Styela clava: one gene and its partners. Each later gene encodes a partner of the first gene's protein in a complex. Links are inferred from orthologs where the notes say so. Each region holds a gene or a part of one and is shown in the gene's direction. Other genes may lie near its edges. The genes, in order: uncharacterized protein LOC120339308, cysteine-rich PDZ-binding protein-like, small nuclear ribonucleoprotein Sm D3-like and pre-mRNA-splicing factor CWC22 homolog.

Evidence for each region.
Region 2: uncharacterized protein LOC120339308 (region 1) and cysteine-rich PDZ-binding protein-like share a complex: the UniProt entries of both Homo sapiens proteins name them as parts of the minor spliceosome. The link is inferred for Styela clava from reciprocal best matches to the Homo sapiens genes SRRM1 and CRIPT.
Region 3: uncharacterized protein LOC120339308 (region 1) and small nuclear ribonucleoprotein Sm D3-like share a complex: the UniProt entries of both Homo sapiens proteins name them as parts of the minor spliceosome. The link is inferred for Styela clava from reciprocal best matches to the Homo sapiens genes SRRM1 and SNRPD3.
Region 4: uncharacterized protein LOC120339308 (region 1) and pre-mRNA-splicing factor CWC22 homolog share a complex: the UniProt entries of both Homo sapiens proteins name them as parts of the minor spliceosome. The link is inferred for Styela clava from reciprocal best matches to the Homo sapiens genes SRRM1 and CWC22.

What each region holds. Positions count from the first base shown.
Region 1 is NC_135250.1:14,829,657-14,837,780, reverse strand, and holds the start of uncharacterized protein LOC120339308, read left to right. Parts: upstream 1-4,785; 5' UTR 4,786-4,828; coding exon 4,829-4,849; intron 4,850-5,240; coding exon 5,241-5,330; intron 5,331-5,605; coding exon 5,606-5,728; intron 5,729-7,661; coding exon 7,662-7,832; intron 7,833-8,124. UniProt on the Homo sapiens protein: Part of pre- and post-splicing multiprotein mRNP complexes. As a component of the minor spliceosome, involved in the splicing of U12-type introns in pre-mRNAs. Involved in numerous pre-mRNA processing events.
Region 2 is NC_135255.1:21,668,226-21,677,033, forward strand, and holds the start of cysteine-rich PDZ-binding protein-like, read left to right. Parts: upstream 1-5,320; 5' UTR 5,321-5,442; coding exon 5,443-5,458; intron 5,459-5,915; coding exon 5,916-5,981; intron 5,982-7,284; coding exon 7,285-7,422; intron 7,423-8,808. Other genes in the region: serine/threonine-protein phosphatase 2A activator-like, read left to right, coding at 1,594-2,691; general transcription factor 3C polypeptide 6-like, read left to right, coding at 4,045-4,605. UniProt on the Homo sapiens protein: As a component of the minor spliceosome, involved in the splicing of U12-type introns in pre-mRNAs. Involved in the cytoskeletal anchoring of DLG4 in excitatory synapses.
Region 3 is NC_135254.1:11,360,404-11,367,711, reverse strand, and holds small nuclear ribonucleoprotein Sm D3-like, read left to right. Parts: upstream 1-4,839; 5' UTR 4,840-4,965; coding exon 4,966-5,367; 3' UTR 5,368-6,378; downstream 6,379-7,308. Other genes in the region: protein SCAI-like, read left to right, coding at 6,379-6,542, 6,870-6,965, 7,220-7,306. UniProt on the Homo sapiens protein: Plays a role in pre-mRNA splicing as a core component of the spliceosomal U1, U2, U4 and U5 small nuclear ribonucleoproteins (snRNPs), the building blocks of the spliceosome.
Region 4 is NC_135257.1:819,732-828,273, reverse strand, and holds the start of pre-mRNA-splicing factor CWC22 homolog, read left to right. Parts: upstream 1-5,257; 5' UTR 5,258-5,318; coding exon 5,319-5,506; intron 5,507-6,364; coding exon 6,365-6,493; intron 6,494-6,725; coding exon 6,726-6,894; intron 6,895-7,314; coding exon 7,315-7,437; intron 7,438-7,560; coding exon 7,561-7,698; intron 7,699-8,209; coding exon 8,210-8,417; intron 8,418-8,542. UniProt on the Homo sapiens protein: Required for pre-mRNA splicing as component of the spliceosome. As a component of the minor spliceosome, involved in the splicing of U12-type introns in pre-mRNAs. Promotes exon-junction complex (EJC) assembly.

The sequences.
Region 1 (8,124 bases):
AATAACTGAAGCACAACCTGTGTTAGCAAAACGATGTAATTTGCCGACGTTTCGAATTTCTATACAGAAAAACTTCATCAGGACATGATATGGAAAGGACACAAGTGGATATATATAAAGCAAGAAAAAGAAAAAAGGAAAAATATGAAAAAAATTATCGTGGCGTCAACTCTAATCTAAAAGGATGATGATAAGATAATATGTATAAACAAGAGAGCTACGCACAAATATATGGACACGTCAGACCAGAGCGAATCAGTCCTTACCGGTACCTTTGACGCTACCGGTACCCTCAAAAAAGTTCTGAAATTCCAGTAGCAAGAATTTTGCAGAATCAAAACGTACAGCCAGTCATGACACTGACTAAAATCCGTGTTCCCATGGATAAAAAATAATACAGCAAAATTTTAGACGAAATATCAAATTTCATAGAATTCACGCAAAATTTTGAAATAAATAAAAGTAATAGCCTTCTAGCGAAAAAATTAATCTTTAACCACTGAAAATTTCAAAGCAATTGGTCCAGTATTCGAAAAGAAAAGCGTCTTTTTAAAAACGTGTCAAAGAACAAGAACAACAACAACAACATAATATTGAAACGATCGTTATGTCCACTACGTGTCCAATAAACAAACTAGCGCAAGTTCAAACAAAAAGGGGACTATTTAAACAATGATTTATACACAGGCGGGAAAAGTGTGGTTTCTTTGTCATTCATCGAATTCTTCTCTTTATTTATGTGATAAGATTCGAGAAATAGTCTTCTCCTGTATTGAGTTTCTTTTTCTAGTATCCTGCTGTTTTCCCAGTCGATGCTATGGTTATTAGAAAGGGCGTGTTTCGAAAGGGCCCACTTGTCAATTTTCTTTTGTTTAATATCTCGTAGATGTTCCTTGCTGCGAGTTTCCAGGCTTCTTTTTGGTTTCTCCAATGTAGACTGAAGAACAATCGCTGCATGGGATTGTATATACAACTCCGTTTTTTTTGTTTAGGGCATGGGCGGTCTTTGACGTTGGAGAGCAATTGGCCGATAGTGTGTTGGGGTTTAAAACTTACTCTGATTTTAACGTCTTCCAAAATTCTTCGAATTTTTTCACTTAGTCCTTGGACATACGGAATGGTGGTAGATGCGATTGGTATGGGTTTATCAGGCGGTTTTTGGAGATTTACATGATTTCTGAACATTTTCGTTGGATATCCATTTTGTCGTAAAGTCTTCTTAATGAAATTTATTTCTTGTTTCTGCTTTGTTTCATCCGATATAAGAGTTTTGGCACGATTCATAAGACTACTAACCACTGAACGTTATGGTTAAGCGGGTGGCTAGAGTTAAAATTGAGGTAGCGATTAGTATGGGTCTTTTTCCTAAATATATCAGTCGTCAATTCTCCATTTCCTTCACTCTGTATCTGGACATCTAAGAAGGCTATTGTCCCATTGACTTCTTTTTCTATGGTAAATTTTATGCTTGGTTCGATCGTGTTGCTGTGGTCGTGGAACGCGTCACAAAATTCCTCAGGTCATTTGAGGGTGTTATCGTTGCAGCAAGGAAGAGGCATGAAATAAAATTTACCTAATTGTGTGACAGTGTAGTTATGTACACAAATTAAATTAGGTCCATGTGTTCAATTAGTACCGGCAGTCCGGATATAAGGTAGCAAATAGATTATAATCTCATCAAATTGCCATTGGTCTACCAGTATTATAACTTCAATATGTATTGAATCAGACTTTTATGAGTTTTATTCCGTCAAAGGAAACATGATCCTTCCTCGTTGGTTAGGCACAGAAATTGATACGGCATAGGATGGAGGTCCGTCAAAAATAAAATGCGACGATAGAGCCAATCGATTTACCGCCTTCCTTAATACCCGATATAAAGCAAATGACACAAGGAGGAGAAGTACTCACGCTACTCGACCTCAAGAAAGCCTATTTTCATTGTGATATGACCGAAGCATTTAGAACCTTTCTTGGAATAACAGTGAAAGGGGTACACATACGTTGGTGCAATATTCCAATGGGACTCAAAACTGCCGTTGCGTTATGGTCGGCTAACATGCAAGAGTGTGTGGTGAAACCCATAACAGCGACGTATCGGGAACACGTGACTAACAAAAAGTGATTGGAGGAGCAAAAAGCGTCGCTGATAGAAGCATACATAGACGACATCTTCCTGAGCACTAAAACAGTCGAGGACCACCTAACGTTACTCTAAATGACCTTCGAACAATTAACAAAATGAAATCGATCTTTAAGCATCAATAAGTGTTTTATTGGAAAAGAACCTGCTAGATCAAGATCAACCTGCTAGGCGCCACCTTGAGTGGGGAAGAAATAGAGGTTCAACCGGAAAGACTGAAGATGATGAAAGAACTACCACCGGCGCGAAATATATACAAACTCAGAGGATGGATCGGTGCTTTGAGGTATATAGCAGATCATATTCCGGAACTCAATCGGAAACTAGCGAAGTTTGACGCCCTAACAGGAAACGTACCTACCACAAGAAGCAGAGGCACGCCAGTAGTATGGACTAAAGAATTACTTGAAGACTACAAAATCGCACGACGCCAACTAAATAACACGAAAATATTACATGATGTAGACCAAAAGCTTCTATTGTATGTCGTAACGGATGCTTTAGAGAACGGGTTTGGTGCTGTCATATTTCAAACAAAAGAGGGGAAGGAATCACCATTCGAAAACGTTTATCCTATAGCGCACTATAATCACCCCAGCAGCCAGAGCATATGACCCCTGCACGAAGGGGATTAACGCACAAAGGAGTCGGTGGACAAGTGGCAATCTATTCCATACGCGATTCCTTTCACAATCCTAGCAGATAATACGGGAGTATTTGGCTTAAAAAAATGAAGGAATAACAGAAAAATCCGAGCCCTAAGATGTTAATACAACGATGGCCAACTCATTTGTCAGGATTCCAAATAGTTAAGTAATACACCCATCAGTCAACTAATGAAGTATTTACCTCGGATGGTTTATCACGTGCCTACTGGCTGGAAATGGCTGCCGGAGAAGGCGAGACAGGAATTTGGTCTACGTACGTGACACCAACAGACAAATTAATAGAAAAGTTTCAATTTCTTGTTGCGTTTTGTCATAAAATACTATTATCGGGAAATATGATTATCGTTAGACATAGGTAGATTCCGGTTTTATTTTAAAGTCTTCCCCCTCGGTAAAATTTTTTATGTTTCAGTATTTGTAAGATAATTCACTATATAATATAATAGGCAAATTTCGTGATGTACAAATTAATAGAAAAGTTTCAATTCCCTGTTGCATTTTGTCATAAAATACCATTATCGGGAATTAGGATCATCGTTAGACATAGGTAGATTCCGGTTTTATTTTAAAGTCTCCCCCCCCCCCCCGGTAGAATTTTTCAGAATTTGTAAGATAATTCACTATATAATATAAAAGGCAAATTGCGTGATGTACAAAATAATATAAAAGTTTCAATTCCCTGCCGCATTTTGACATAAAATACTATTATCAGAGTCATTATATAATGGCTCTGCTATTATCGTGAAATAGGATTATCGTTAGACATAGGTAGATTCCGTTTTTTTCCCTGGTAGAACTTTTCGTTATTTGTTGGATAATTAGATATATAATGTAATAAGTCAATTTCATGGTGTACAGAGTATTAGAAGTGCCGAAATCAGACTTCAAAGCCATCAAGACAATGTATCTCTTTGGATAAATGTTACTCAATTTGCTTGTTCAATCTTTATTTTAAAAGATGTATTTGTGCAAATCAGATTCGATTTGTTCATACCTCAATTTTATTGATGGAAATGAATAGGTTTGATATTCGCTTAGATTTAAATTTTCATGTTGTGAAACCCTCCTGCAGTCCTGTGAATTCATGCTTGTTTACCTACATACCTGGCATAAGGGATAAGAGATATTATTGTTCAGCTGATTTTGATTCATTTTCCCGGCAATTATATAAGTATAAGTTTATTTCGACTCCATAATCAGCAATAGACGATAATAATAGATAAAAATAAAAGTAACTGATTATAGAATCGGGAGAGCGAACAAAACCTCGAGTAAGGTTTGAAACGTACAGATTTTAGATGGAAAGGTATTGATAAAAGAAGTAGATCTAGTACGTGTTCGCTCACCCAAATTGTGGCTGTGCCATCAATTGCCGGACTTTGAGAGGTTCTGGCGCTGAGTTAAACATGGATATATGTAATTTAGTAATCTGTGAACGTTTAGGATGCCTTGACTTACGGTGAAACATTGTCAGAACGTCAGGTCAGCCCACTCTCGTTCTGTCGTTTGACGCTAGCCCAAACTCGCGGGATGCCAGCACACACTCGTGTGACGCTAGCCTACACTCTGACACTCGTGTGAAGCTAGCCCACACTCGTTTTTGTCAGGCCATACTAGGGGTAACTGGGCCGTGCTTGGTATTGTATTTGCGTTGTGTATATCAGATATGGTCTCTATGTTGTCAGAGTCACCAAGTTTTTATGTAATAACAGTTATAAAGTCAGTAAAATAGTTGGTTAACCCCTTGACGTCAGGCTGAATGTGGGCTGGAGTAATTTTGGTCTTATCATTGATATCTCTTAATGTGACGGCTGCGCCGTAGGTTACTGTAATATTCAATCCAAAAACAACAAATTTTCAATGCTCAATTTAATCAAACTAAATTATTTTTGACATATTTGCGATTAATAATTTTAAAATTTTGATTTGACTGATGAATTGACCAAAATCTAATTCTAAAATTTGATCCTCAAGGTAATACATTTTGGTCACTAGCAATAGGCGTAAAGTGAAAAAAATGGATGCAGGATTTTTCAGGGTAAGCCTCAATCATTTCATCGTTAAATAAATCTAAAATGTTGAGTTTCAATTGAACTATCTCATTTTCAACCTCAGCTTTCTGCATTTGGTCATTCTCACTCATTTCACTGTTTTTCACATTTACGTTAGTTGGTTCTCTATTTTTTGATTTATAAGATCGGATCTACTTTCTTAGATATGTTTTAACTTATAGGTTAAGTTATTACATAAGATTATTAACATAATTGGGGATGGTCAATTTAGAATATTGAATCCGCAAAATTCAAAGCATCTGTTTCCTACTTTGTTATAATTGGTATTCGTATTATAAGCTTGCACAAATTATAAATAGGATTAAATTAGTCAAATTATAGATTGGATATTTTAGCTTTCACATTTCATTTCTTTAGGGCACCAGTGCCGAGCAAGATAATCGTTTTGCCAACAAGCAAAAAAAATTGTTGAAATCGATGAAATTTGCAGACGGTTTGGAGAGCAAGGTAACATTTCATTTTTTTTTATAGGGATTGCTGGATTGGCACTTTCAATAACCTTCGAATCGAATTCTTAAATATTGAGGCATATTTGCTGTTATTATTTCTGTAGGATAATATTTCATTCATTTTTTATAAGTATTACATGGTTAAAATACTTAACTATTGCAGTATTGTATCAGGATGTATTTATATATTTTCATCAAATGTAAATTTATTGTAGTTCACCGTGTTTCTAGCGTTTTTGTTTTTAAAGTTGAGATCAGCCATGTTTCATTCAGATTGATATGAACAAGATCAATGTGGAAACAATTAAACCTTGGATTACGAAGACAATTACTGAAATGCTTGGCTTTGAAGATGATGTCGTCATTGAATATGTTTTTAATCACCTGGAGGAAAGAGTATGAAAGTTTTTATTTATTTGAGTAAAATTCATTTCATTTTTTTGAAATTCTCTTTCCTTACATATATTTTTCAGCATTGTGACTAGAGATGGGCAATGTAGGATAATTTACTATTATAGAATAGTTAAATCGAATCTAGAATACCGAATCCTAATCTATTTTCATACTTATTCAAAGAGTGGGAATTTCCACATTGCTAGATTTTGATGTTAAAAAATTTTAAATGTATTACTATAAATGTATTATTCATTTGGACATTTGATTTCATTTGATATTAAACAGGCATTTCCCAGGACAATAAATTTTATGAATATTACAATATATTTTGCCTTCCAATTGTTCCAAATGTATGTTATCCCTAAATACTGATATTCTAAATCAAGGCACGCTTTGAACACTTTAATAGTAAGCAGTTAAATACAAAAATAGATATGAAACATCGTTAAATCATTATTAATGTTAGGTCTGCCGAGTGTACTACAACATACCCACTGAGAATTACATATAAGCAGGACCAGCTTGTTGCCACTGCAACCTATGCACCCATTGTAAAATATTAAATTGAAGCGCTATCAATTAAAATCAACTTTTAATTCTGTGCGAGCAAGACTCGTGGAACCAAGTTTTTGTAAACACGATTTCGTACTTAGTTATTAGGTAATAACATCCAAAGACTCAATACGTCACTATCTCTGCCAGATGCGACAACTTTTTTTAAATTTATTGGCGACTAAAATACTACAAACACCCGATCAAATGTGCGTCTATCTTGAACGATAGAAACTGACCGAAAAATATGTAATCTTTTGAGAGTGAAATTCAAATGTGACAGATTTTCTCGTTTTGCGATATAACTTTGTATTTTGAAAAAAGGATGTAATAAAATTATTCGTAAATGATATTTGATGTAAATTAATCGCAAGTAATGTTATAACATTCAACGCTTTTGGTTCTGGTTCACATGCATTATTTTTTGAGAAAACTCGCAGGTCGCAAAAAATCATTTAATATAAAATGAAGCAAGGCACGTCTGTATCCAAATAAAGATTGTTGCAATCAGATTATCGGAATATCGCCAGTAAGTCGGCACAAATAATTAATAATAGTATACGCTAGCTAGATAGCAAAGCAGAAAAACGCAAAAATGGTGCAATAACGAGTCTTTGCCGTGAGGTGTACTTCGCCGACTTCGTGTCTTGAATATGCCGATTGAGATTACAGTGTCTGATGTTTACCGATTTCACGGGTTTATTGCGAGCAGACGCTGGAGAGGCGGAAACCGAATTTTGTTATCGGATCCTGCTGGATTTGAATACTTTGGGCTTTGAATCCTCCGGATTCGGTATTCTATATTGCCCATCCCTAATTGTGACACGTCCAGATTGAGCCGAAACAAAATCAAGTTTTGCATGATAGTCATGAGATACATATCCTAATCGCCTCATAAAGGATGATTATATTGGCGGTATGTTTGTCAAGAACCTAATCAAATGAAAGATTAGGAATATCTCTTTGTTTTCAAATTTTAATAACATTATTTTTATGAGGACAGTATCGGTAAAGGCTTTTGCTAGTGATGCACACACAAATGCAAATATTCACTGCAGAGATATTACAGATTCACTGTATGAACGGCGATTAACGAAAACTGATGGGAAGGCGTGCTATTGTTCTTTCACAATATTTTCTGATCGGAAAGTATTAATGCACCGACCCCAGAAAATTGGGTCTGAACATTGTCTTATTAGTTACAAAGTATGCCATATGTACATTTCTGCACATGCTGATTTTTTATTAAAATGGTTAGAAAATTGGGTCTGAACATTGTCTTATTAGTTACAAAGTATGCCATATGTACAGTTCTACACATGCTGATTTTTTATTAGAATGGTTATCTATATAGTTCATGTTTATTTTTTGTTTGTATTAGTATCCTGACCCAAAGAATCTTCAAATAAATCTCACTGGATTTTTGAACGCCAAGAATTCTAGACTTTTCCTTGGACAATTGTGGCCGCTTCTTACATCAGCACAAGAAAGTGCTACTGGTATCCCTTTGTCTTTTATGGAACAAAAGAAAGAAGAGATAAAACTTCGCCAGGTATGTGAATATTAAATAGGACAATATCTCGAACCTCTCGTATACGACTATTAAAACAACTAATTTACTCCTAATTAATTTGATGTGTAATAAGATCGAGGTGCTAATCTTGGATTGGATCAGGCATCAAGAAGGCTGGCTTAAAACATAATTGTTTTCCTGAACAATATATTATAGATATGATTATGCGAGGCTAATCCCGGCAAAAACCATGTTATGTTCTTGTAAAATTAAGGGGTGGTTTTTATCTAATACTTCTCAAATATTGTGTGCCTTAGTCCTGAAAAGGGCA
Region 2 (8,808 bases), on another chromosome or scaffold:
GTATTTGAGATGTCCCAGGTCACGAGACTTTACAAATGTTATTTTTAAATAATTTGGGTGGCTTGGAAAAAAGGTTGGTGACCACTAATCCAAGGTGTTTATTCGTTTTTGTTTGAATTTTGTGACATCAACAATATTTACTAACTGATATATAACTTTGCTCAGCGATGAGTTTTCTTTACTTCTGAGTGAGTATCCGTTTTTTTTGCTTGAGCAAGTTTCCATGAATAATGCTTTATTTTTTCTTTTCAATGTCTTCAGTGATCATCTATTTGAATCTATAACAATACTAACTTGACTGATTTTGGTCAATTTGAATAGGATAGGAGTTCATATTTATCCTGGGCACTGAGAAAAGCCTATTAAACGACTTAATCCTATGGCGAATCACGGCCTCCGTCCAGTTACCAGTTCCATGTCGGGTACTGAGCGACCCCTTACTCCGGGCTGTAAATATTTTGACTCCTAACAGATGAGAAAATCCAATTTTGGTAAGAAAAAATTGTGTGTGCGTAATTATCGGTTTTTGGTATTTGCCTTTTTTATGATTAGTGTGCGTTTTGTTGACAAGTTTATGATGATTGATTGGCGCTCCAGAAGTGTGTGTACCAATATGAAGGTAACTAAGATTGTTCGCCTATTTCACATCAAGTTGTGTAAAAGGACTGAAACCTATGCACTCGGCTAACACAGACAGTCGCTGAACTTGTAATAGAACTAAAATAAGGAAATCGGAATAAAATTAAGGCCTAATCCTAACCTGGCACATACACTACGGGGGGTACCGATTGATTGGTCTAAACCAGGGGTCGGGAACCCATGGCTCGCGAGCCATATATGGCTCTTTTGGTGACGGCATATGGCTCCCAGAAAAATCTAATATTCTAAGACTAAGCTTACTATTGTTACAAGATTTCAAACTCTTTTATAGCCAATTTTGGCAGGAAATTCCCAAAACGTTTGAGAACGCGCGCCCAGCACATGTCTATGTTATGTGAGATAATCGCCAGACAGGCATTGTGACAAACAAGGGGATTCTGGAACATATATTGTGACATCACAAAGCGATAGAGTTTTAAAAACACTACGGAGATGCCTAAACGAAAAAGGGTGATGAGAATCGTAGATTTCAACTTGGGCTGCATGTGAGCAACCGTTCAAGGCCCGCAGCGACTACATGCAGCATCAGAAATCACATTAAATGTATATTGACATTGTATGTGTTGACTTTTGAGTAAACATTTTAGGCCTGATCAAGTGAAGAAATGTTATATGGCTCGCACGGAAATGCAATTGAAAATATGTATATTTTATGGCTCTCTTGACCAAAAAGGTTCCCGACCCCTGGTCTAAACATTTCTTCATTTGCCCTATCTTTTAAATCTTGATTAGAACCTGCAAATAGCCAAAAAGATGATCTTCATTACTAAAGGTCGAGCCAAACTCGTAAAAAATTTGTTGTAGATTTAAGATAATTATTTCTTCATTTTTGATGAATTGATTTTTGATTATGCAATCAATCAATTGAATTTTAATTATTTTTCCAGAATTTTTATTCTTAATTAGAACAAATATCTAAAAATAACTGATATAATGTCTGACGATAATAAAGCAAATTCTGAGCCAGCAGAGGGATCCAAGAGTCCGAAAATTTGTGAAGAAACTAAACCAGAGGTTGCAGAGGAAAAAGTTGAAGTCTCTACAAGCGAAAGTGGGGGTGCAAATCAAGATACAGCAGATGAAAATGACCCATTTAAAGATCATAAATTTGTAGTTCCATTTACGCAAATCAAAACTGTTTTGGACATGGCAATTTGGACAAAATCAAGCGGGTATGAAGACTATTTAGGATTTATAATGATGCTAAATGCAGCTATAAAAGGTAAAAAGCTTAGTGCTCCATGCGAAGTGTCTGAAACGACGAAAAAAATTGTCGCACTTTTGGATTTATTGGATAAATGGATTGATGAAACGCCGTCGATAGACCAGCCGCAAAGATTCGGGAACAAGGCTTTTCGTACTTGGTATGAAAAGTTAAAAGAAGAAGGTGAAAAATTGACCTCTGACCTTTTGCCTGATAATTTAAAAAGAGCTGCTTCTGAAATTGTGGAGTATTTACACGGGGGTTTCGGAAATTCCACAAGAATTGATTACGGAACTGGTCACGAAATGTCATTTGCTTGTTTTCTTTGTTGTTTTTTTAAGCTCCAAATCCTGGGGGAAAAAGATAAACTTGCGGCCGTTTTTCACGTCTTTAATCGTTACTTACACGTCGCTCGGAAGTTGCAAAAGACTTACAGAATGGAGCCAGCAGGGAGTCAAGGGGTATGGGGGTTAGATGATTTCCAATTTTTACCCTTTATATGGGGGTCGTCGCAGTTTTTCAGTCACCCCACGATTCTACCTGTTCATTTTGTAGAATCGAAAATTGTCGCTGAAAACCGATCAGAATACATGTTCATGGAATGCATTGATTATATCATGTCCGTAAAAACGGGACCTTTCGCTGAGCATTCAAACACTCTCTGGGGGATTAGTGGCGTCCCGCATTGGGGGAAAGTCAACTCCGGCCTATTGAAGATGTACAAGGCGGAAATACTTCAGAAATTTCCGATTATTCAGCATTTCAAATTCGGATCCATACTCACTTTAGATCCGAGTCCTAGACAACCTGGTATAAAGTTGAATTGAAGAAATAATAAGGAATAAACCTTTTTAAAAGACAAGTCTTTACATTAAAGCTTAAAAACTACCTCTGTTATAGAACAACGAATCAGTTTTTAAAAAATTACAGTGGAAATTTGAGACGCTTTGTGAACAGCATTTCCCGTTGAAGAAATGAGTCATTTGTTTCTTATTAATCAGTTATTTCTGTTTGGGACATAGCATGTCGTATATTTTTGCTCACCTAATCGTAGACAAAAACTACTAGGGCAGGGAATTCAGGCAAAGTTAACCACAGCGTTGTATTAAGTTGAACTTGAGCAATGAAGTGGATTTTTTAAAACATTGCACTTGATTAGCTTGTGTGGAACCTTATATCCGTCCTTATTTCTACCCTGCTGTCTCTATGGTAAATCAACAGCCCTCTAAGGAGAACCATTTAAATGGTAATTTGGACCACATACTGGTATCCTTCCCTGTTCATAACTTGCTGTCTCTATGGCAGCCCAATAGCCCTCTATGGTCGTTGGGACAATATATCTATCCCTATTCCTAACCTGCTGTCTATATAATATATAGCAATCAATGGCTCTCTGTGACGGAGGCAATTCAAACGTCGATTGGGACGGTATATATCCATCCTTGTTCAAACAATTGAGATTATGCAGTTTGAGTATAGAATTTCTATGTCCATATATGTAAGCAATATTCTTTTCTCACTTTGACTTTTACTTAATACAAAATGATTTGGGTATTCATCGTGATTGGAAAATTATGGTTCCATCTTTTTGGATTAGTTTTTTAGATTAATATTTTTCTGTAATTTATTCTTTATTCCAGATCTGTTGAGTCATTTTGAATGTTTCATATTTTTTTGAACTCTTCTTGACGTTTGAAATCTTTTGTATGTTTTTGCCATCAACTGTTTGTCCTTAGTATGCACGTTTGCTCGAAACAGAGTTTTGGGCCTTCAACTAAATGTGGAAAGAGAGAGAGAGCGAAGTCATATTTTTTATCAAACTAGAGAACAGAAATATAAATAATAATAAAATAAGAGAATCGAAAGTTTTCGGTTGATGACTGGTAGGTAACGAAAAGACCATTCGCGATCATCTAAGTCAGTTACCACCAAATACAAACACTTAGGCAGCACACAGCGTTCCTTTTCAAACATGCTAGTTAGCAGTGTGGAGCCCAGCGATCCTCCCGAGCATAAATCAGCGGTACGAACAGTTTGTTTGTACCTTTATCTATCAAGTCTAAATATCGTTCTTGTGGCCTATTAATTTATATATTATGGTTACTTTCTTTTAATTAATGAATAAATGTTTTTAATTGTTTTATTATTTCAGATTTATAATTTAACATAAATCTTGAAATATGGACCAAATAACAGACTCTTCAATGGCAGAAGGGTCAGATGGAAATGGCACGACCTCTGACCCTGATGTGAAAGGTGATAATACGGCAGAAGGAACAGATGAGATGGACTTGACCTCTGACTCTGAGGTGAAAGGTCACAGGAAGAAGAAACCATTTCCCAGAGAAGACTTCAACCCTGATGAATGGGAATTAGTCGAAGAAGACAATTGTTTAATCGAATTGCATGGAGTCGCGCGTAAAAATTATCTCAAAAAATGTGATAAAGATCGAGTGAAACTTATCGGATTATTTGATGAAAATGGAAAAATGTTTCTACAATTGGATGAACTTATTTTTATGGGTGAACCGACAGAAACGTTTGGCACCAACGCACTTTTTGAGGAATATTATTCCGACGGGGAGTCTAGTGAGGATGAGGACACATTCCGTACCGTGACACCGACTCCAGGAAAACAGAAAGTTAAATTACGTTATTTAACGCACACAGAAAAAAAGATTTCAATGTATAGGGCCTTGTTAGTAGACAAGACGGTAGATGAAAAAAGTGAATCTCAATGATTAGGGTTTTCCCCCATATTTGCTATTTTCAATTTTTTCCTGGGGGGAGATATGGACTCTTTTTCATCCTTTGATTTGTATTATGTTGTCATGGTTTTGTATTATGGCATTCATGGTATTATTGCATCACATTTTTTAAAATTGTACTCAAATTCGTCCGATGATTAACTTCCAATGAAATTGCCCTATTTTTAAATAACTCAGCCATTTATTTTTCATTGGATGCCAAATTCACTTATTCTGGTCTTTCTAAAAATTTTAGTTATTTTACGAATCAGTGACCCCTTTATATTGTTATTGAGTATTGTTCAAAGTGCAATGTGTGAAATGACATATGAAACGTGCAAAGTGTTGATATAGGGGTCTGACTAATAGTTAGGTAGAAGTCTCCCAAGCGCTCCAAAGTTGATTGAACGAAGCGGAAGGATATTCGCGGGCTGGGAGAGGGGAGCGCACGAATGCGGCCGAAGCCGTATAGTTGAATTATTATGAATATACATATGCCTAAACATGTGCGTCAGGTTGAGTCATCCAAGTCGAATCAATCACTGATTTCTTTTAGATGAGTTGGGTTACTTGTAATCTCTGATAAATATTGTCTTGACTCTTCAGTCCATAGCACTGGTTACCAGTCCAGCAAGGGTTTTAGAATATTTTGGTCACATTGTTATAGACTCATGATCTTTGGATTTCGTTTTTTAAATTATTTCTTGTTTCTTTTTTTTAGATTTTAATCTTAACTACTCTAGTTAATACTTTTGAATTCTTCAATATTATCTGCTGTCTTACTTAGGGGACAATTTTCCTGGACAGAATAGATTGAACGACTGGACAGCAATGGTTTGCGATAAATGTAAGTATTTTATTATTGTTTTCAATGGCGAGATTGTCTCATCTGGTGAAAGTAATAAGACTGTTTTGCCAACGCAGTGTTGGTATAGCAAATTGCACATCAAGCCCGTGCTTCTGAAAACAGATACCATACCCGACACAGACTGGTAAACGAACGAGAGGTCGGGGTTCGCCATATGATCAAGTCGTCTTATCAGCTTTTCTCTCTGCTGATATGAATATCTAAATCCTATCCTATGCTAAAAAAATAAGTGACACTACATGGAGAACAAAATTCCTCTCCAAGAACTGCAAAATTTTTTCTTAGAGAAAAATTTCTTATCGAACAGGGAACGTCAACATAAATAGCTTCTTCTTCTTGCAACTAATCTGAAACAATCTTGAGAAAGGATTACCATTCTTCTCAGATTCCTTTGAAATTAACCGTCGTGGTTAAACTTGGTATATTCTATTCACAGGTCAGAAAAAACTGGGAACAGTGGCGACACCTGATCCATGGAAAACTGGAGCCAAGAATACAAACGGTAGGAATGTTTTTATAAGACGTCTTTTGACCTGAACATGGTCTAATACAAGCAGCCATTACTGTGTAAAGGCTACTATTTATTTGGAAGGACCAGGATATTTCCGCTTTGTCATTACCTACCCAATTTATCAGACACTGGGTGTGGGGCGTGGGCGAGGGAACCAGAGATGTTCGACCTGCAGTGTCGATGCAGTTAATCTGTCGTTTTGTTCGTTAAACCATCGCATCACCCAGGATTGCTATAGCGTAGCAAATTTTAGGGGTTTAGCATAGGAATTTAGATGACAAGTGGCAACCTTTGCTAACCGGTAAAAAATTTTGTTGTTTAGGGGGTACATAAATACTTTGTATTTGGTGTAGCTTAACTTATTACTTATCGATCTTAAGATCGGTAAGTATGTTGATAGGTATTTGTCTGTTTGTTTTGTTTGTCTGTTAGATACACGCGATATCTCACGAAAGCAAGGATGAATCCGCTCCAAATTTTGCATATGCATTCATATCTCGGATCAAAGCCTATTGATTTTGGATGAATTATGTCGTATATTTAGCGAGTTATTAATTAATTAGTGATGAGACACAAGGTGTCACTGTGGAGTAAGAGCGCTGTTTTGGGGGATCCTCTAACTTTCGATCGATGAGTCTTCGGTCTCTGACCGATATTCTCGTGTTGTTTACTTATTTAGTATTGTTGTGAATTGCAATACAGATGCAAAATAGGCCATGGAAGAAATATAATAAGAAACCTTGGGAACCACTGGTCTACATAGTATGAATATACGGTGCACTCGACATATGTCTACCAAGATGGCGCACAACCTGAAATTAGTATATGTACCAGGTTAAGGTTCAGGTTGTGCGTCATCTTGGTTTGCATACTTCCAGAGCGCCCAACGTACAGTTTATGGAGGATGTTGTTTTTTCTACAGAGATGGGCAAATAAAGTATTTTCAGGCTCGACGGTGTGGCTCAACGGGCTAAGCGTTAGGAATACGCTCGCCACTGCACCTCTAATTACTCTACGTGGGTTCGCAGGTTCGAATCTCATGCAGGGATGGTTATGTGCGAGCGGATTGCTGGACTCCTCGCTGTCGTTGGGTGGTTCACGTAACCGCTGGTCGGTCGGTTACGACTTCCTCCACCACCAAGTCCATGCCTCCGAAAACAAACAATATAACTAATCACATACCTGACTTGGAATGGTAACCGGACGAGAGGCCGTGGTTTGCCATATGGATAAGCCGTCTTATCGGCTTTCCTCTCCCCCGGGATAAATATGTAAATCCTATCCTATTTCACAGAGGGGGGACGTAAGATCAATGAAAACAAAGCTTTGACTGGGACGAAGAATCGATACAATCCGTACAGCAGCGGAAAGTTTAAAAAATGTCGGATATGCAAATTACAAGTTCATCAAGTTGGCTCTAATTTTTGTCAAGGTAAGGTAATTCCCATTCCCCTCTTCCAACTTATGGTAAGGGGCAACCCTCTTGAACCACTTAGGATAGTCATCTTCCCTCTTGCTACAACATATTTGCATTATATGCATACGGATCCGCCAGCACAAAAGCATAAAAGAAGGATAAGTAGCCGGTCTGGCAGAACCGGTAAAATCGATAGTAGCCTACATATTTTCAATGAATTGAAATTTGAAAATGCAGGCATATAAACAATTTTATCTAACTGAAGAGTCCAGCTGCACACTAACACAAATGTATTTCTGTAACAACAATCAATTGTTGTAAACTGCTTGTCTGAGGATGTCTGAGTTTGGTCGGACGAAGGTTACAGAAATACATTTGTGTAAGTGTGCAGCAAGACGCATTAATTGGATAGAATAGTCATGTTTATTCCAGCTATAGCATCCTTGAAATATACGCATACGGATCCACTAGCATAAAGGCATAGAAGAAAGATAGGAAGTTAGTCTCGCGCAACCCAATGCAAATATAAACAATGATTTGATTGATTTTTGCAATTTCCATTCAAATAGATGCCTTCTAGGTTATGCTGTGAAACTTCATTTATAAACCTTAAATTTATTCGAATATTCGATTTTCTTTGGACATCCCTGACTTGAGTCTTTTATAATATTCTTGGAGGTCAAACTTCAAACATTCTTCTCCAACACCTATTATTAATAGTAGATTCTAGGATATACCATATATTGTTTTGTTCCTCACAGCTGTATTAAATGAAGTAAAAATACTTGAACAATTACTGATTAAAACACAACAAACCTGGTGAAGATATATTGAGAACTGACTTCATCACAAAATTGGAATTATAAAAGTGTTTTATGGACACCCTATATCGACGCATGAAATCCAAATTGGGCTAAGTCCATTTTTCTAGTTTTGAGAAAAACGCAAAAAACGTTTTTTTTTTGTTTCTTTTTTATATTTCTCTAATACCTTACATCAAGGATGTCTAGTTTTTATGGTCCACCAAAGTTACAATGAAGGCCATATTTTAATGGTATAAAAAAATTTGTGCTCCCCCCCAAATTTTTTTTTTTGGGAGTTTTTTGGACTTAACCCTTTTTGGCTCTCAGTTTTCTGGACTAGAAACAATTTTATTGGACTTAGGGCCCCTTTATTATGTTATTGTAGAGGCAACTTATCATTGAAGAACGTCAATAATTCCCTTTTACAACGTTTTTGACATTTTTTGTGAGCTTATTTTTACGATGAAAAATATTCCTGCTTCTGAATCTTGATGACAATGGTTATCTAGCCTCCAATTTTTATCAGACTGCTGTTGCTACTGATTACTGCATTTGTTTACCTTCTCAGAACCATTACCTACTAAATTACTAAACAAAT
Region 3 (7,308 bases), on another chromosome or scaffold:
CCTTCTGACCATTAATGAAGATTTCTTTTAATGTGAAACGCAAATATGCCTACCAATATCGGTAGTTTTTAGGAAAGGATTTATCATGGGGGGAGGATTGCAAGGTGCAACATCGTACGATTACCATTCTGTGTCGGGATTAGTTAGTCAGGTATTTGTTTTCAGAAGCATGGACTTGATGGTGGGGGATGTCGTAATTGACCAGCGGACGTGTGAACCACCTTCAGTGGGAGGAGAGCTGAAATCCTCTCGCACAAAACTATCCCCGCATGGGATTGAAACCTGTGAAACTACCAGGGTGGTCAGAGATGCGGTGGCGAGCGTATTTCTAGATAGCGAATTCAATTGAATTCTGGTTATTTTTTGCATGAGCACTGACTGGTGTTGAACTTTAGTTATCTATTCAACTTTTCACACTTACTAATAGATTACCTGCTAACCAGGGAAACAATACCTTATGGCAATTGATGATTTATTCCTTACACAAGTCAAGTCTGCAAGTAGGCCTACCAATAACAGTAGTTTGTCATCTTCTTCCCTTTGAAATGGGGAAGCTTATGAATATTTAAAGAAATTGATAACGGCACATTATCACTCACCACCAACGAAGTGCTGTCCGCAAACAGTGAAACACAAGCGAGATGACTTCTGAACTTGACACCAAGCAGTCCTGCCAATAGATGGTATCTTTTGAAAAAGTGGAATATAACTGAAGATCCATTTCGTTGTCTATACTATACATACAGCCAACGGTACAATACGAAATAACCATTTTCCACACCCAAACAAAACGGAAACGTATAATCCGACCTGCAACTGACAGGAGCCAACTGGACGTTTTTGTTTTTCTGCCGTCCAGTAAACAAAGTCACGTGACCCGTGCAAGTCCTCTATATAGCTCTGTGTTTTCAATGGACGTGTGCCCGAACCTTGACCCCTCAAAAATTCTCCCTGTATTTTGGAAGTGTTTTGGAGAGTTGGCGCTTACAAACTGGCTCACATGTTTGCAAACTATTTCTATTCAAAATCTTGAACCACGTGCCACTTACAGGCACTGATAGCTAATTTTAGGCTTGCCTATCTTAGCGTTTACGGTATCAATTTTTGATTATTGCAACTAAACTAAAGGTCCTCGGAGTATATCATGGCAATTAAGGTATCTGATGTACAGCTATTATTTGGAAACACAACTGAAAACTTACACGAAAACGAGGTAATGTTTACAACCATGCTTGAACAATTCTAAGCGAAAGAAGTGTCTCAGTGGCTGCAAATTGCAATTGTACGTCACTGTTAATTTATTTTCGATTGGTCACTTTCACGCAAATAAAAAAAAGAAATTGATTTTCATCCATACAGGCAGGGCCGAATCATATGGCCTTTTGGAAGCCATAAGCACTTAAAAATTTGTTGCCTTATATGTAAATGATAATAATAGGTATGTAACTAGTGGTGGTGGTGGTAACATTGGTGCCTTAAGCACGTGTTTATTTTGCTCAATGGTTTATTCAGCCTTGGCTACAACATCGCTGCATTATTATACACTCACAAATCTGTCAGCATAATAGAGGGCGCTCCGGAGGTATTCGTGCCAAGATGACGCACAACCTTAACAACCCTAACCTGGTACCCATACTATGTCCAGGTTGTGCGCCATCTTGGTACGAATACTCCGGGATCACCTAATAGAGCAGGACTATGTCACTATATAGAGTTAGTCTCGCGTTGTGAAACTAATACTTTCAGTAAAATCGAATATTGACAGTATTAGAGTTACAGTTAAATGCAATTTACACGTTTAGCGACTGACGCTTTTTAACAGTATTGAAGTTTCTGTGAAATGCTATTTATACGTTTAACAACTGACGCTTTGTAACAGTATTGAGTTATGGTGAAATGCTATTTAAACGTTTTACGACTGACGCTTTTTAACAGTATTGAAGTTACAATGAAAACTATTTATATAAAATAACAAGGGGGCGCAATGGGAATTAATTCCCAATTGTCGTGCGTGGACCACCACATTGAATTATCTGACAGAAGTAACTTTGTTCAATTCTTTTTATTGCAAAAGTATTCAAAAAAAAAAGTTTCTAGCTAGCCTATGTGGGCTCGATACCGGACCAATATTAACTGTTGGGTCGTCAGACCGATTCGAGTTATTTCATGATACTGCGGAGTCATAAAAATTCGACCATGGAAATTGAAATTTGTGTGGTGCTCCCTTTCCCTTGCTGCCCTAAGCACGTGCTCATTTTGCTTAATGGGTTATCCGGCCCTGCATCAACAGCGTCATCATGCAAACAAGAGAGCTATGCTCAAATATATGGACACGTAGCGCCACATAATTTTGATGACATCATAGCAAAAAATAAAAGTTATAGACTTCTGGAGAAAAATTCCATCTTTCACCACTGAAAATTTCAAAGCAATTGGTCCAGTAATCGAAGAGAAAAGCGGTTTCTTCAAAACGTGTCGATGAACAAGAACAACAACAACAAAACGATCGTTATGAGAAAGAGAGAGAGAGAGAGAGAGAGATTTATTGATTTGTCAACCGGAAAACAAACAATGGTATACAAATTAATATATACAATATACACAAAGTTAATTTGGTATAGACTGGGAGAGCGATACGACCATAAGGTCATCGGAGTCAGCTACCCCCCAAGTTCACTATTAAGATTCACAGTTAAACGAATGTCCACTAAACGTGTCCAATAATGAAGACGCTTCAAAACGTGATCATTAGCCAATGAAAAGGATTCATTATTTTATCACCCACAGATAATAAAGTCGATGAGCGGCTGGCCAGCCCGATTTTTCTTTATTTTCAAGAAAGTTTTGCAAATTAAATTCTTTTTGCCTTTCACATTCTGTGGATTGTATATGGATGGGAGCCAAACAGTGACGCAATTTAAAATTTAGAAAAAATTCCGATTCTATTTTGTACCAAACTCACTAACAACAGCTTCGCTCATTTCGGATAGTGAATGTATCTCAAGGTTTAAGAATGGGTTCGCTTACTATCACGACATTCTAAGAATGCGTCGCTTGAACCCCCTGAATCCCACAACTTGATATCATTAAAATTGTTTCGAAATTATAAAAAAATTGTTATTGACTTGGGCCAAGTTTACAATTTTGATCAAATTTTGCCAATTCAAGATATCTTTCTATGAAGGTTTCATATTTATATATTTTTTGTGCTCAAATTATCAAAGATCGCATGTAAAACAAGAGGCCAGCAACACATCCAAATAATCTTTCATTGAGATTTTTGGAATCATAACTTCACAATGGTTTGTGATCAAACGCCTTCCATCTGATCTGGCTTTTATTCCTACCAAAAAAAAAAAAAGAGTTTGATATATAATTGCTATTTTTCCGTCGATAAATCGGAATCACGACAATAATGAGTAAATTAGAATTGAAGACTGTTGAAGAACTATAGGAAAATTTCTCCACATGAGAAGCTGAACGGTAAAACGTCAGTTTCAAAAAATAAACTTGCACACTTTTTCCAGACGATAACAAATAAAATGTAGGCTATTGGATCAATTATTTTTTAGATTTAATTCAAAACAATAAAAAAAAACAAATTTTATCCAGATTAATCGCTTGTACTTTTTGGGAATGTCCACAAGTTTAAGATTATGTGACCATTTTACGTTATATATATATTTCCATTGTTATTGAGAATCATAAACTCTACGATAGTGCGTTGGAAATGCTCAAGCAGGCTACCATCTCTTTGAGGCACTTTTCTTTCGTACAATTTTGTACTCACGCAATTGCTCACTTGTTGAATTCAAAATCTCTATCGACGGTAGAAAGTAATATGACGTTTGAATTTCAAGACAGCGTTATAGATCATGTTGATTGTGTATCTATAGTTACTTTTAGTGTTCGTGTTGAGTGAGACCATCTGTATTTGAATCTGAATTCTCTTATAGTTTATTTTTAAAAATATGTGCTTGATATGGAAGTTTCTTAAGTAAACCTGCTGTTATTAAATGATAGTTTTAATTTCAATACGTTATGGACTACGTTATCGGGTTATAAACAGTGCCGGCATTGAAATATCAGCAGACACTTTTTTTCTCAGACTGCAGGACATAGCGATTTTCGAGAAGAAGTTTTTCCGCATAATGATGTTTATCAACCCCCTTTTTATGACCCGTTGCAATCGAATAGCATCCTATACCTATTACTGTGCTCGAAATTGTTTCAATTGACTACATGCGATAAGGAAACTCAGAACAAAAATGTAACAATATTTAACGAGAATATCGGTCAGAGACCGAAGACTTATCGATCGAAAGTTAGGGGATCCCCCAAAACAGCGCTCCTATTCCACACTGACACCTTGTGTCCCATCACTAATTAATTAATAACTCGCTAATTATACGACCTAATTCTTCCAAAATCAATAGGCTTCTGATCCGAGATATGATGAATGCATATGCAAAATTTGGAGCGGATTCATCCTCGCTTTCGTGAGATATCGCGTGTATCTAACAGACAAACAAACAAACAAACAAACAAACAGACAAAATACCTATCAACATACTTACCGATCTTAAGATCGATAAGTAATAATAACGTATGGTTAACGTAACTAAAATAAAATGTAAACGACATGTCAATGAACACGGAATGAAATAAACAAAGTGGTTGTCGAAATTTAGTTTCTAATTTAAATTAAAATTTCAAAACGATCCATTTTTCCTTTTTGTCTAATAAGGCTGTTTAAGCAATGACCGGCAATGACCTAATAATATCGTCATTTAGGTCATTCGTTCGAATATTTTTCACAGTTCCGATGAGGCAACGAGACGCGGACGCGGGAAAAAGGCTTTCCTTCGGTGTTGCTTTTGCGCATTGTCTAGTTGTGACCTCGCCGTGTTAGTTTCAATTTTTATCTCGCTGAATACAATTGTTTGGCACATAATTTCATTAAAAATGTCTATTGGAGTTCCAATCAAAGTACTTCATGAGGCGGAGGGCCATATTATCACATGTGAAACCGCGAATGGAGAAGTTTATCGTGGAAAACTCATAGAAGCTGAGGATAACATGAATAGTCAAATGACAGATGTAACTGTTACTTATAGAGACGGTAGAACAGCACAGTTGCAGAATATTTACATCCGCGGAAGTCAAGTTAGGTTTATGATTTTGCCTGATATGCTTAAAAATGCTCCGATGCTGAAGCAACAACGCGGTGGTTCTGCCGGAAGAGGAAAAGCGGCTATTTTGAAAGCTCAAGTTCGCGGCCGCGGAAGAGGCGGATTCAGCAGAGGAGGCGGTGGTTTCAGGGGCCGTGGTGGATTTGATTCTGCCAGCTTCCGTGGACGTCACTAATCCTTGGATAGAGTTGAAAAAAGTTATTGGCCCAAGTCTTTTAGATTTTGTTGGAGCTGCTCCCACCGCCTTTCAATCTAAGCTTCTGCTATCCACAGATCCATGCTTACTGTCTGTGATTTATTCATTTCTGGTAGGCAGCTGATGTATTATATCATTCCATTATGTAGTTCTGGCTTGTGGTAAATTATTGATTGTTTTTAGTGTGACTGGATGATATTAATATCTATACTTATGTCCATTTTGGCATGATTATTTTATAATGATCCAGAAAATGTGTAAATTTCAATTTTTGAAGTTTGGAATGATAGTCTACCAAATCTTAAAATATTAGGTAATACTCAATTTCGATTATATTTCTGTTATTATGTACATCATCTTGAGATCCCAATATTGGGAGTGATGCATATGATTTTACATGTTTGTCTTGCATAATATTTGAATTATTTTTCATTCGTTTTGGTTTCTTTTACAACATCTGCCTGCCTGTATGTAAAGGCAGACAGGTGTTGCAATTTTTGGTCTCCAAGTTTTATTCAACCTGGGACAATTTCTTTTAGCATTGCTCGAATGTGATTACTGTTATATCAATGTCTACGAACCAGAGCGAATTTTAACACAAGTTGAATTTGAATAATATTATTCTTGATCTGTGCATTATATTTCTTGTGATGTTAATTTGCTGCTATTAGCTTCATTATTTCAGTCTGCTAAAGTCGGCATTATGTCTGTATGTTGTTGGTACCTTTTTTTGATGCCACTTTGGTATGTAATCCCAATGTCTGATCTTAGAGATTTTTGAATTATCCTAACCCTAACCCAGTGATGACAGACTTGGGATTAGAAACTGAATTCTATGCGAATTTCTTTATGAGATTAAGTAGTTTTATGATTCGAAATCGCATACCAAAGTGGCATCCTTTTTTCAATCATGATAGGCTAACGATACGTTGATTTTGTTTAGTGTGGATCTGGGAATATAACTTTGTCAGATTTTGGTTCAAGATTTAAATGGGTCCAATTTCTTTTTATAACAGATTTGAGTTCTTTTGGTATTGTGGTCTTGACATAATGATGGAAACTGTGCCTCCGACTCCCACAGCTGAGGAACGAAAAGTAGTTCAGGAATTTGGTGATTTATTGGAAGCTTCTAAAAATCTTTTCAATGGACTCCGGTAATTGAAATTCAACATTTTCAATAAACATTTTCAAGCATATCAAATACAAAAATCAGGATTTTCTGCAAAATCCTTTGTGACAGTTTTTCCAGATTGAAAATTTTGTGGTTTGAACACTTGTAAGGATAATATATATGAACGATTATTTAGAATACTACTTGACAATTCGTCTTTCCGAAACTGCAGTTGAAACGTAAGGGTAGAATCGTACACATTTAGAATCCATAACCCCAATATCCTGATTGATTGATCTTGTCACACTTGACCAGATAATTAAAGGATATGGTATGTATTTGTTGGTAATATTTTGTTCTTGCATTTCAGAGATCTACCTCAATATGGGCAAAGACAATGGCAACCATATTTTGCCAGAACTTTTGAGACATATACAAAGTTGTGGAAATTTCAACAAGAAAACAGGTTTATATTAATTCATTCTATGCTAATTTTGAATCCTTATTCTTGCTGTCTCAACCAGGGTGACCTAAACTACATAGACTATGCAGAAGATTTCTGGGCGGGGGGTGTTCTGAAAACTCCGTAGCTCTTTTTGTATTAGTGTCTTTCCAGACCAAACGTGTGAAAAATCGTTATAATATTACAGACTGTTCAGTTACACACTTTTTATAAGATGATATGTGCAACATTACATAATGTTTTTTACTTATTTTCAGACTGGTTTTAGACAGTGTATATGGATTGAAACGATGGCAAATAGGTGAAATTGCATCAAAGATTGGGCAATTATATTATCATTACTAGT
Region 4 (8,542 bases), on another chromosome or scaffold:
AGACGAGGTTGCGTTAGTTTATTACGCAATTTCTCTTCCATCGTCATATTGCGACGTATTTCGCGACATCTTGGCGTCGAGTAATCACACTTCTCCCATTTTTGGCCCCGATTCATCGCGAATGCGCTCCGATCGCTTTTCCGAAGACGAGGGTGGCTTGGTTTATTACGCAATTTCTCTCCCGCCGTCATATTGAGACATCTTGGCTCCGAGTATTCACACTTTTTGCTTTTTCGGCTCCGATTCATCGCGAATGCACTCCATCAAATCTGGCAAAATCAAAAATTGGCACACGTGCTTTTTCTGTTCTGGGTCATATTCCTGATTATTATGACCATTTATATAAAACGTTATGCATATTTCCTTTGTTTAAACCAGAAAACAGTCAAGAGCAGTATAATATTCCAGTAAGAGTAAGATATGAACTTGTTGCGACCCTGCAGGTGGTCACGAGACGCGCAAAAAAAACATGGGCGGCAGAGATCTTTTCCAATATTTTGAGCAGACATAGTAGGATTTTGATCCTGGTACCAACTTGCCAGTCAAAAAGAAAAATCTTGATTAAAATTGTGATTCTACTTTACAGTCCAGATTTAAGAAAGAATCACTGTCACAATTTTGGATAAACATTTTCATCACTAGCTTCAATTAAAACGAAGCAACGAAATCGGCTACTCGCCTCTGCAGAGCTACGTGTTGCAGAAACTTCTTTGAGGCCTCGTTTGCAATCTAATATTGGAAACGAAACAGCAGCAAAATTCTCACTAGAGTTAATTGTGTTTATACATTATTTGGCATGTACATGTTTTTTATGTGAGATGTTTTATGCGTGCCTTTCTTACGCATAATGGGTGCCCAGTACTGCATTTTATTACGAAAATAGATGGTATTACATTATGTTTCACCCATTTCAATTTTTAGCCGGCACATTGTTTGATAGTTTTTCGTGGTGTGAAATGTTTTTAAGTGTTCTTTTTTTGTCTAGAAGCATATTGAATGCCCGACATTGCATTATATTGTCTGTTCCGGTCATTACAATTTTTTGCCGGTCCGCGAGTACATTTAATTTAATTTTATCGGTCCGCCAGGATAGAAAGGTCGAGAACTGGTATAGTTACCGTTCTCAAATCGCCCAGTATTTTACTTGTAAGCGGAGACGTAGCCTGAGAGGTGGGATGTCCCTTGCGAAAACCAAATTGTTGATGATAGAAAAAACTCTTTTGCTCTAAAAAGTTAACTAGTCTATTGTACCAAAATCTTTGAAAAAGATGGCAGTAGGCTGATCGGTCTATAGTTTTTGACATTTTTCATGTCTCCGCCTTTATGAAGTGGTACTACTTTAGCGATTTTAAATTCATCAAAACATTGTCCCGATTGCAAAGAAAGATTAAAAATATGAGCCGGAGATAACATGCAAATCCATGGCATTGCTCTGATAACTTTAATTGGGATTCCATCAAGCTCACATCTGGTGTTAGGTCTAAAAGCTCGAACGATAGCTTGTATTTCAATGGCTGTTACGGGTGATAAAAACATTAATACTTGAGGTGCTCGATTTACTCATGTAACTCATGAAGTTACCGTCAGTATCATTACAGAATTTCTCAGCCATTCGCTTTCCTATCGTAGAAAAATGTTTATTAAAATGATCAGCTATAGACACGGGATCACACGTTTCAATATTTCCTACAACAAATACTTTTGACAGTTTAAATTTGCATTGACCTAGCAGGGTATTCATCGTTTGCCACGACTTTTTCAGATCGCTTTTAGTTTTATTCAGAACCGATCTGTAGTAAAATTCTTCTGGGACAGTATCATTTTTTAATAGGTTTTCTTAATTTCCAAGTACTTAATCCTGGAACATTGCGATTTCTCGATAAGAGATAATTTGTAACGTTTCTGTTTGTTCTTATGAAGTTTGTTAATTCTTTATCAAACCACTTCTTGTTAGTTTTTTTAGTCGAAATCGGAGGAAAACAGCGATCAAAAACTGGCATAACATGACAAGAGAAGTTTTTGAAGGCATTGCTCGGGTCCGATTCTTCATACACCCCAGAGAGATCGATACATTCTAACGCCGTTTTAAAATTGGCCATATTGTTCGGACTAAATGATCGAGAAAAACTGTTTTCCTCGTGTTTAAATGTTTTTTGCTCTATCGGCATACACTGCATTACAGGTGAATGATCAGAGATGGCATCGGTTAGAATACCGCTGACAGGTTTTCGATCGTATATGTTTGTCCATATACGATCAAGAATTGTTGCGCTATTTTCAGTTATTCTGGTCGGTTTGGCAACAGTGGGATAAAAGGAATATTGGTTCATTAGCTCAGTCAGTTCGTTGACAAAATGGTGCGATGTGTCCATCAGATCATAATTAAGATCACTCATTAGTATACTTTGTCTTGAAAGTGAGGGCGAAACAATGTTGAGGTGGCTAAAAAATTTCTTATTTCTGGAGTTATCGGACAGCGGCGATTGGTAAATAGTACCGCAAGTTACAATTCGGTCTTTAAGATTAATGTCAATGAATAACGATTCAAACGTTTTCTCCTCCATCATGGACAATTCCGGTCTGGTTTTAAAGGTAATACCATCTCTAATATACAAGCCCACACCACCACCCGGTTGCTTCTTGCATTTGAAACGAATCTGTAATCTCGTAAATTTATATGAGCGCCAACTTGGTCAGGTTTAGGCCAAGTTTCATTAACCGAAATTATATCGGGTCGACTTGTGATTGAATCTAACAAAACTTCCAGTTTAGCAAAATTTTTTGGGTTAGTGAGCGAACGCATACGTACTTGCGCACATTTCGCTTTGAGCTTGGGCGAATCTCTTCAATATCGTTTGCACTTATATATTGACTTTTTTTTCAATTAAGCACGTGCGACTACTTCAATTAATTTGATTAATTAACTAATTCATTAGCTTTTCCGAAGTTATTGCCGAAATTATTTAAGTGTAACGTGCACTGTGTATAACGCGCTGCACACTTAAATGCTGAAATGCAGTAAATGGTTATATCACATTTTGATTGAAAATTGGTGTAACTTTTACTTTATATTTATGGAATAGTCCTATGGAATTATAGGCTAGTATTGTAAATCAGTAATTGGAGCAGTGGGAACATTTTGGTCAGGTTCGTCTATTCTTAAACGTCGGGCTATCCTACCCAAATCGACTAAGATAGTCACTTTGATCCTACCGTCCTAATTATTAAACCAGTTACCGGTACTGTAGAATAGGATAGGATTTACATATTTATCCCGGGCGAGAGGAAAGCCGATAAGCAGCTTATCCATATGGCGAACCACCCATATCAGCATATGGCCTCTCGTCAGGTTGGTCAGGTTACCATTTCAAGTCTGGTACCGGTACCGTATGGGATTAGTTATATTGTTTGTTTTCGGAGGCATGGACTTGGTGGTGGAGGAAGACGTAACCGACCAGCGGTTACGTGAACCACCCAATGACGGCGAGGAGTCCAGCAATCCTCTCGCACATAACCATCCCTGCATGGGATTCGAACCTGCGAACCCACGCAGAGTAGAATACCGGTACGGTAACTGCTGAAATCTTATTATCCTGTTATCGGAATTACTGAAACATTAGCAAATTCAGATATGGCTTAACTCATCCACCTGAGCTGTCTGGCTGCGGACTCTATTTCCTAAATGTGACTAAATCTTGGACAGAAATACCGGTACTGGAAATAACAATAAGACGGTTCCTTTTATTACAGAATTACCGGAACGGGGTGGAAAATCTACATGGACCTTTAGATGTCTTGCAAATGCCATTTCATATACCTCCATGTAATTTTTGTATTCAATCGGCAAACTTGGGGGGGGGGGCAGTGGTAAAAATAATTTTCCCCAATTACCGGAACGTACCGGTACTCTAAATTGCAGGAACGGAGTGGAAAACCCACATAAACCTACTGGAACGGACCTTTAGATGCTTTGCAAATGCCATTTCATATACTTCCATGCAATTTTTATAATGAATCGGCAAACTTGGGGGGGGGGGCAGTGGTAAAAATAATTTTCTGTAATTACCGGAACGGAGTGGAAAACCTACCGGAACGGACCTTTAGAGGTCTTGCAAATGTCATTTCATATACTTCCTTGCAATTTTTATATTAAATCGGCAACCTTGGGGGGGACAGTGGTAATGACATTATCATTTTTGTATCGTTCGCGGGCCACAATAGTGCCAAGAATAGGTAATTAGTGCAATACTAAACAAACACTTTATTGTCCAAACACATTGATCATTATTTGTCATTTATCAAGCTAACATATGCTAAAACTACCAAATAAAGCTAAATATAACTTGCAAAAATCTTACTGTAAATACATTTAGTGCAGTAGTGTAAGATTTCAAATTCCTCATCTTGGAAAAAGTGCCATAAGGAAAAAATACTGTTTTAGATTGTCACTGATACAACTTGCAGACATATTATTAGGCAAGCATTGTGATATTTTATCTGCCATATCCAGTCAAAAATCTGTTAGTCAACTTTCTTTTCAAACTCATGTTTAAAAATTACCTTATAAATGACTGAGATTAATTGATTACCGAATTTCACCAAATTTGAGATACAGGAGGATAATTACTATATTTTCTGACATATTGGCAGCATTTTTTGTAACACTGTTTAGGCTGGTTGCAAAAAGAAACACCCGGCGGGAATTATATTGTTCGGCCATTACATTAATATTTAGTTATCAGGCATACCCAACCTATAGGCTGATAGATTTCCATTGGATTTTTAGTTTACTATGAAGAATATTCTGTTAGCATAATATTCCCGACCAAAAAGATAGAAAGCCAGCTAACAATTTAGACTAGCAAAGCACATTATTCCTTCGCTAGTTGCCTCAGCTAACCATGACACTAGTCAATTCATTGACATTAGTGATGTAACAATATGTCAAAAGATTTTTCTAGTTATTTTTATGAAGAAACAATGCCAAATGCGATTTTTGTTCACTCTTGCGCAAATGCGATGCGGGCCACAGATAGTGAAGCGGCGGGCCAGGGTTTGGACCTCCCTGGACTAGAGTCTAGCATAAATTCATACAGTAATATCAGAATACGCGCAAATCTACCAGATTAATGTCCCTCAATGTCTGTTTGTTTGATTTGAGTGTTGTCATATTTGGTGGTGTCTGGGGTGGGAATTTAATATAAAATTTACGCATAATGTACATATCTAGTCTATCAAATCTGCAAATGTATCTATATCTTTATTTGCACATAGACTAGCTTCAGAGCTCAGTAGTGTATAAATTTTCAGTTCAAAACATGAGTAAAGCTAGACATCTGGAAGAAGGTGAAATAATAGAGGAGAAAAATGAAAAGAATAAAGGAGAACCTCCAGAGAAGAAGAGCAAAATTGACAAAGAATCCATGATTTCTACAAAAACTGGAGGAGCATATATTCCTCCGGCTCGTTTACGAATGATGCAACAGCAGATTACTGATAAGAGCAGGTTTGAAACAGTAAAATATTATGACCATATTATTCGAATTGATGCTATGGTTAGCACTTGTGGCATTTCAAGTTCGAATTCCAGCCACTGAATTGCCCAGAAATATATGGTGATTAATTGGTATGAGTACTTTAACATTTATGTAAGCTTCGGACTTCAAACAGGCACTTCTATCCCAATTCCCAACTATTTATATTCTATTGGTATGCTCTTCTGCCTATAAAATTTTTGTTTTTGATATACCTGTGTGATGTACTAACGGTGAAATATATCTTATATACCCATGCCCACTCCCACACCATGTTGAGAGCACCTTATCTTCATTTTTGGCGTGCTGAGTGGAAGTTCAAATATTTTCAAAATTTTGTTATTTTCTCTTACACAATGCTGAAAGTGTTACACAGCGTTCCAATATGCCAGGGTGATCCAAACCCAGGCTTCGTTATCTATGGCCCGCGCTGCCATTGCGGGAGGGTAAACAAAAAATCTAACAAAACAAAATTTGGTGTTGTTTCGTCATAAAAATAACCATAAAATAATTCCTGTTGGGTGGTTTTCCGCAATCAGCCTAATTAGTATTACAAAAAATGCTGCCTATATGTCAGAAAATTTAGTAATTACCCTCCTGTATCTCAAATTTGGTAAAATTCGGTATTCAATCAATCTGCAGTTATTTATAAGTTGAACTCTTTTGGCCCGCGAACACATCAAATATAATAGTGTGCCCTGCGAGGCCACCAACCTTGGACCACCCTGCTATATGCGCTTTGAAGCATTTATTATTAAATTAATGGAATTTCTCTGTTGACAGCAAAATGATGACTTAATAATAATACTGAATTTTTCAATATTTTGTAGCGAGCAATATCAGAGAATAAGTTGGGAAGCTCTGAAGAAGAGTATCAACGGTTTGATCAATAAAGTGAACACGTCAAATATATCAAGCATTGTCAGAGAGTTATTTCAAGAAAATATAGTTCGTGGAAGGTAAAATGTGCCACTGTGTGTCGGGTTCTTTATTTAGATAAACTGTTATATCTAATGCCAATAGTCCAATACTATGAAATTTTAGATGCATCTATATTATTGTCAATATATTCGTCATGTTATGATATTGCTCATTATGTCTTTTTGATCACAATTGCAAATTTTTAAAAGCATTTCCAAATAATGTGGTCAAGATTGTTGTCGAATTAAAAACTTTTAACATGTTTTTCAGGGGAGTGTTGGCCCAATCTATATTGCAAGCTCAAAATGCTTCTCCAACCTTTACAAAAGTATATGCTGCTCTCGTTGCAATCATCAACACTCGTTTTCCACAAAATGGAGAGTTAATATTAAGAAGACTTGCCTTGCAATTCCGTCGGTCTTATAAAAGAAATAGAAAGGTAGCTAGCCGAAGTCCGTAAATTTATCTCCTGTGAAGATAGTGTTGAATAAACTTTTTTTTTACAATTAATTTACAATAGGCCTAAATAATATTAATTTTGTGTTAGTCAAGTTGTCACAGCTGACTCGTAATATTCGAGTCTTCCTAATAAATTACTATAGTGAGAGACACTATAGTGAGGTTTTTATAAAGCAAAAAGGGACAATAATAATATTTTGAAAAATTGCCATCATTTTAAATCAATGCTTAATGTAAATGTCGGGGTTTGTGAATGCCATGAAAGGTCATGATTAGTTTTGAATCAAATTTATTTTACTGTGAGTGGCTGATCAGATCATTTTATTACTTTACCAACTGAGATTCTAAATTGAAGAGATTGATATTTTTTCTTACCTGACTTCATGTCATTATTTTTTAGGAAGTATGCCTCCACTCTGCACAATTCATTGCCCATTTGATGAACCAGCAAGTTGCACATGAGATTATTGGACTTCAAATTTTAACTCTATTGCTTGAAAACCCGACAGATGATTCTGTGGAGGTATGTGATTGTGGTTTGGTTAATTCGTGAATGTATGATAAATAAATAAAATGGCATGTTTTAAACTCGTTTATCTCAAACTAAAGTATTTTTAGTGAAAATCTTTCTCTTGAATTTTCTCAGGTTGCAATTGGATTCTTAAAAGAGTGTGGCCAAAAATTATTAGAGGTATCACCCCGTGGTCTTGCAGCAGTCATGGAACGTTTACGTACAATATTACATGAACAAGAGCTTGACAAGAGAGTGCAATACATGATTGAAGTAACTAATTATAATTTACTGTCATAAGTTCATTGATTGCAGATATTTCTCAAATCTCATTTACATCTGATACATTTATTTATTTTTCTAATATTGAAGACTATATTATGAAGTAGCAAATCGCATCAAACAGACTTATACGTTTTGATCTGATATAGGATAGAAATCAAAAGATATTGTCAAAGCAACATTATATGTTTTCAAATTCAATCCTAAATCATGCTAATCCATGCTAAAATTTACGGTGCAAAAAATTCTTACATTTCAATTTTCTACTTCCACTCTGCTACTCTTATTTGTCAATCATTTTATGTCATCTAATTTAATTTTCACATTTGTTTCGGAGATCTTGAGTCAAGAATAAATTTGTTCAAGCCAGTGACAGCCAATATATCACGAGTTCTCGGTCATAACTGATATGAGTATCAATGTAGAGAATTCAAATTCAAAATGAATTGAAAAATCCAGGGCACTGAATTTTAAATTGATATTACCTTTTCTTTTTAATCAGGTGATGTTTGCTATTCGAAAAGATGGATTCAAGGAACATATTTCTGTTGAAGAAGATCTTGATCTAGTAGAAGAAACTGATCAATTCACACACATGTTACAACTCGATGATGATGGTGGAGGGAAAGGAACGGAAAATGAACTGAATGTGTTTCATATGGATCCTGATTTTATACAAAATGAAGAAAATTATAAGCAGATTAAAAAAGGTTGTTGTTTTTATCTACTAGGAATGCACAGGCACTTCTGTTCCAAGATTTTTGAAGTCGTCAATATTTGGGAAAGGGTTTTTATAAGAATTTATAATTGAGCATGTATGATAATATCCCTCTTT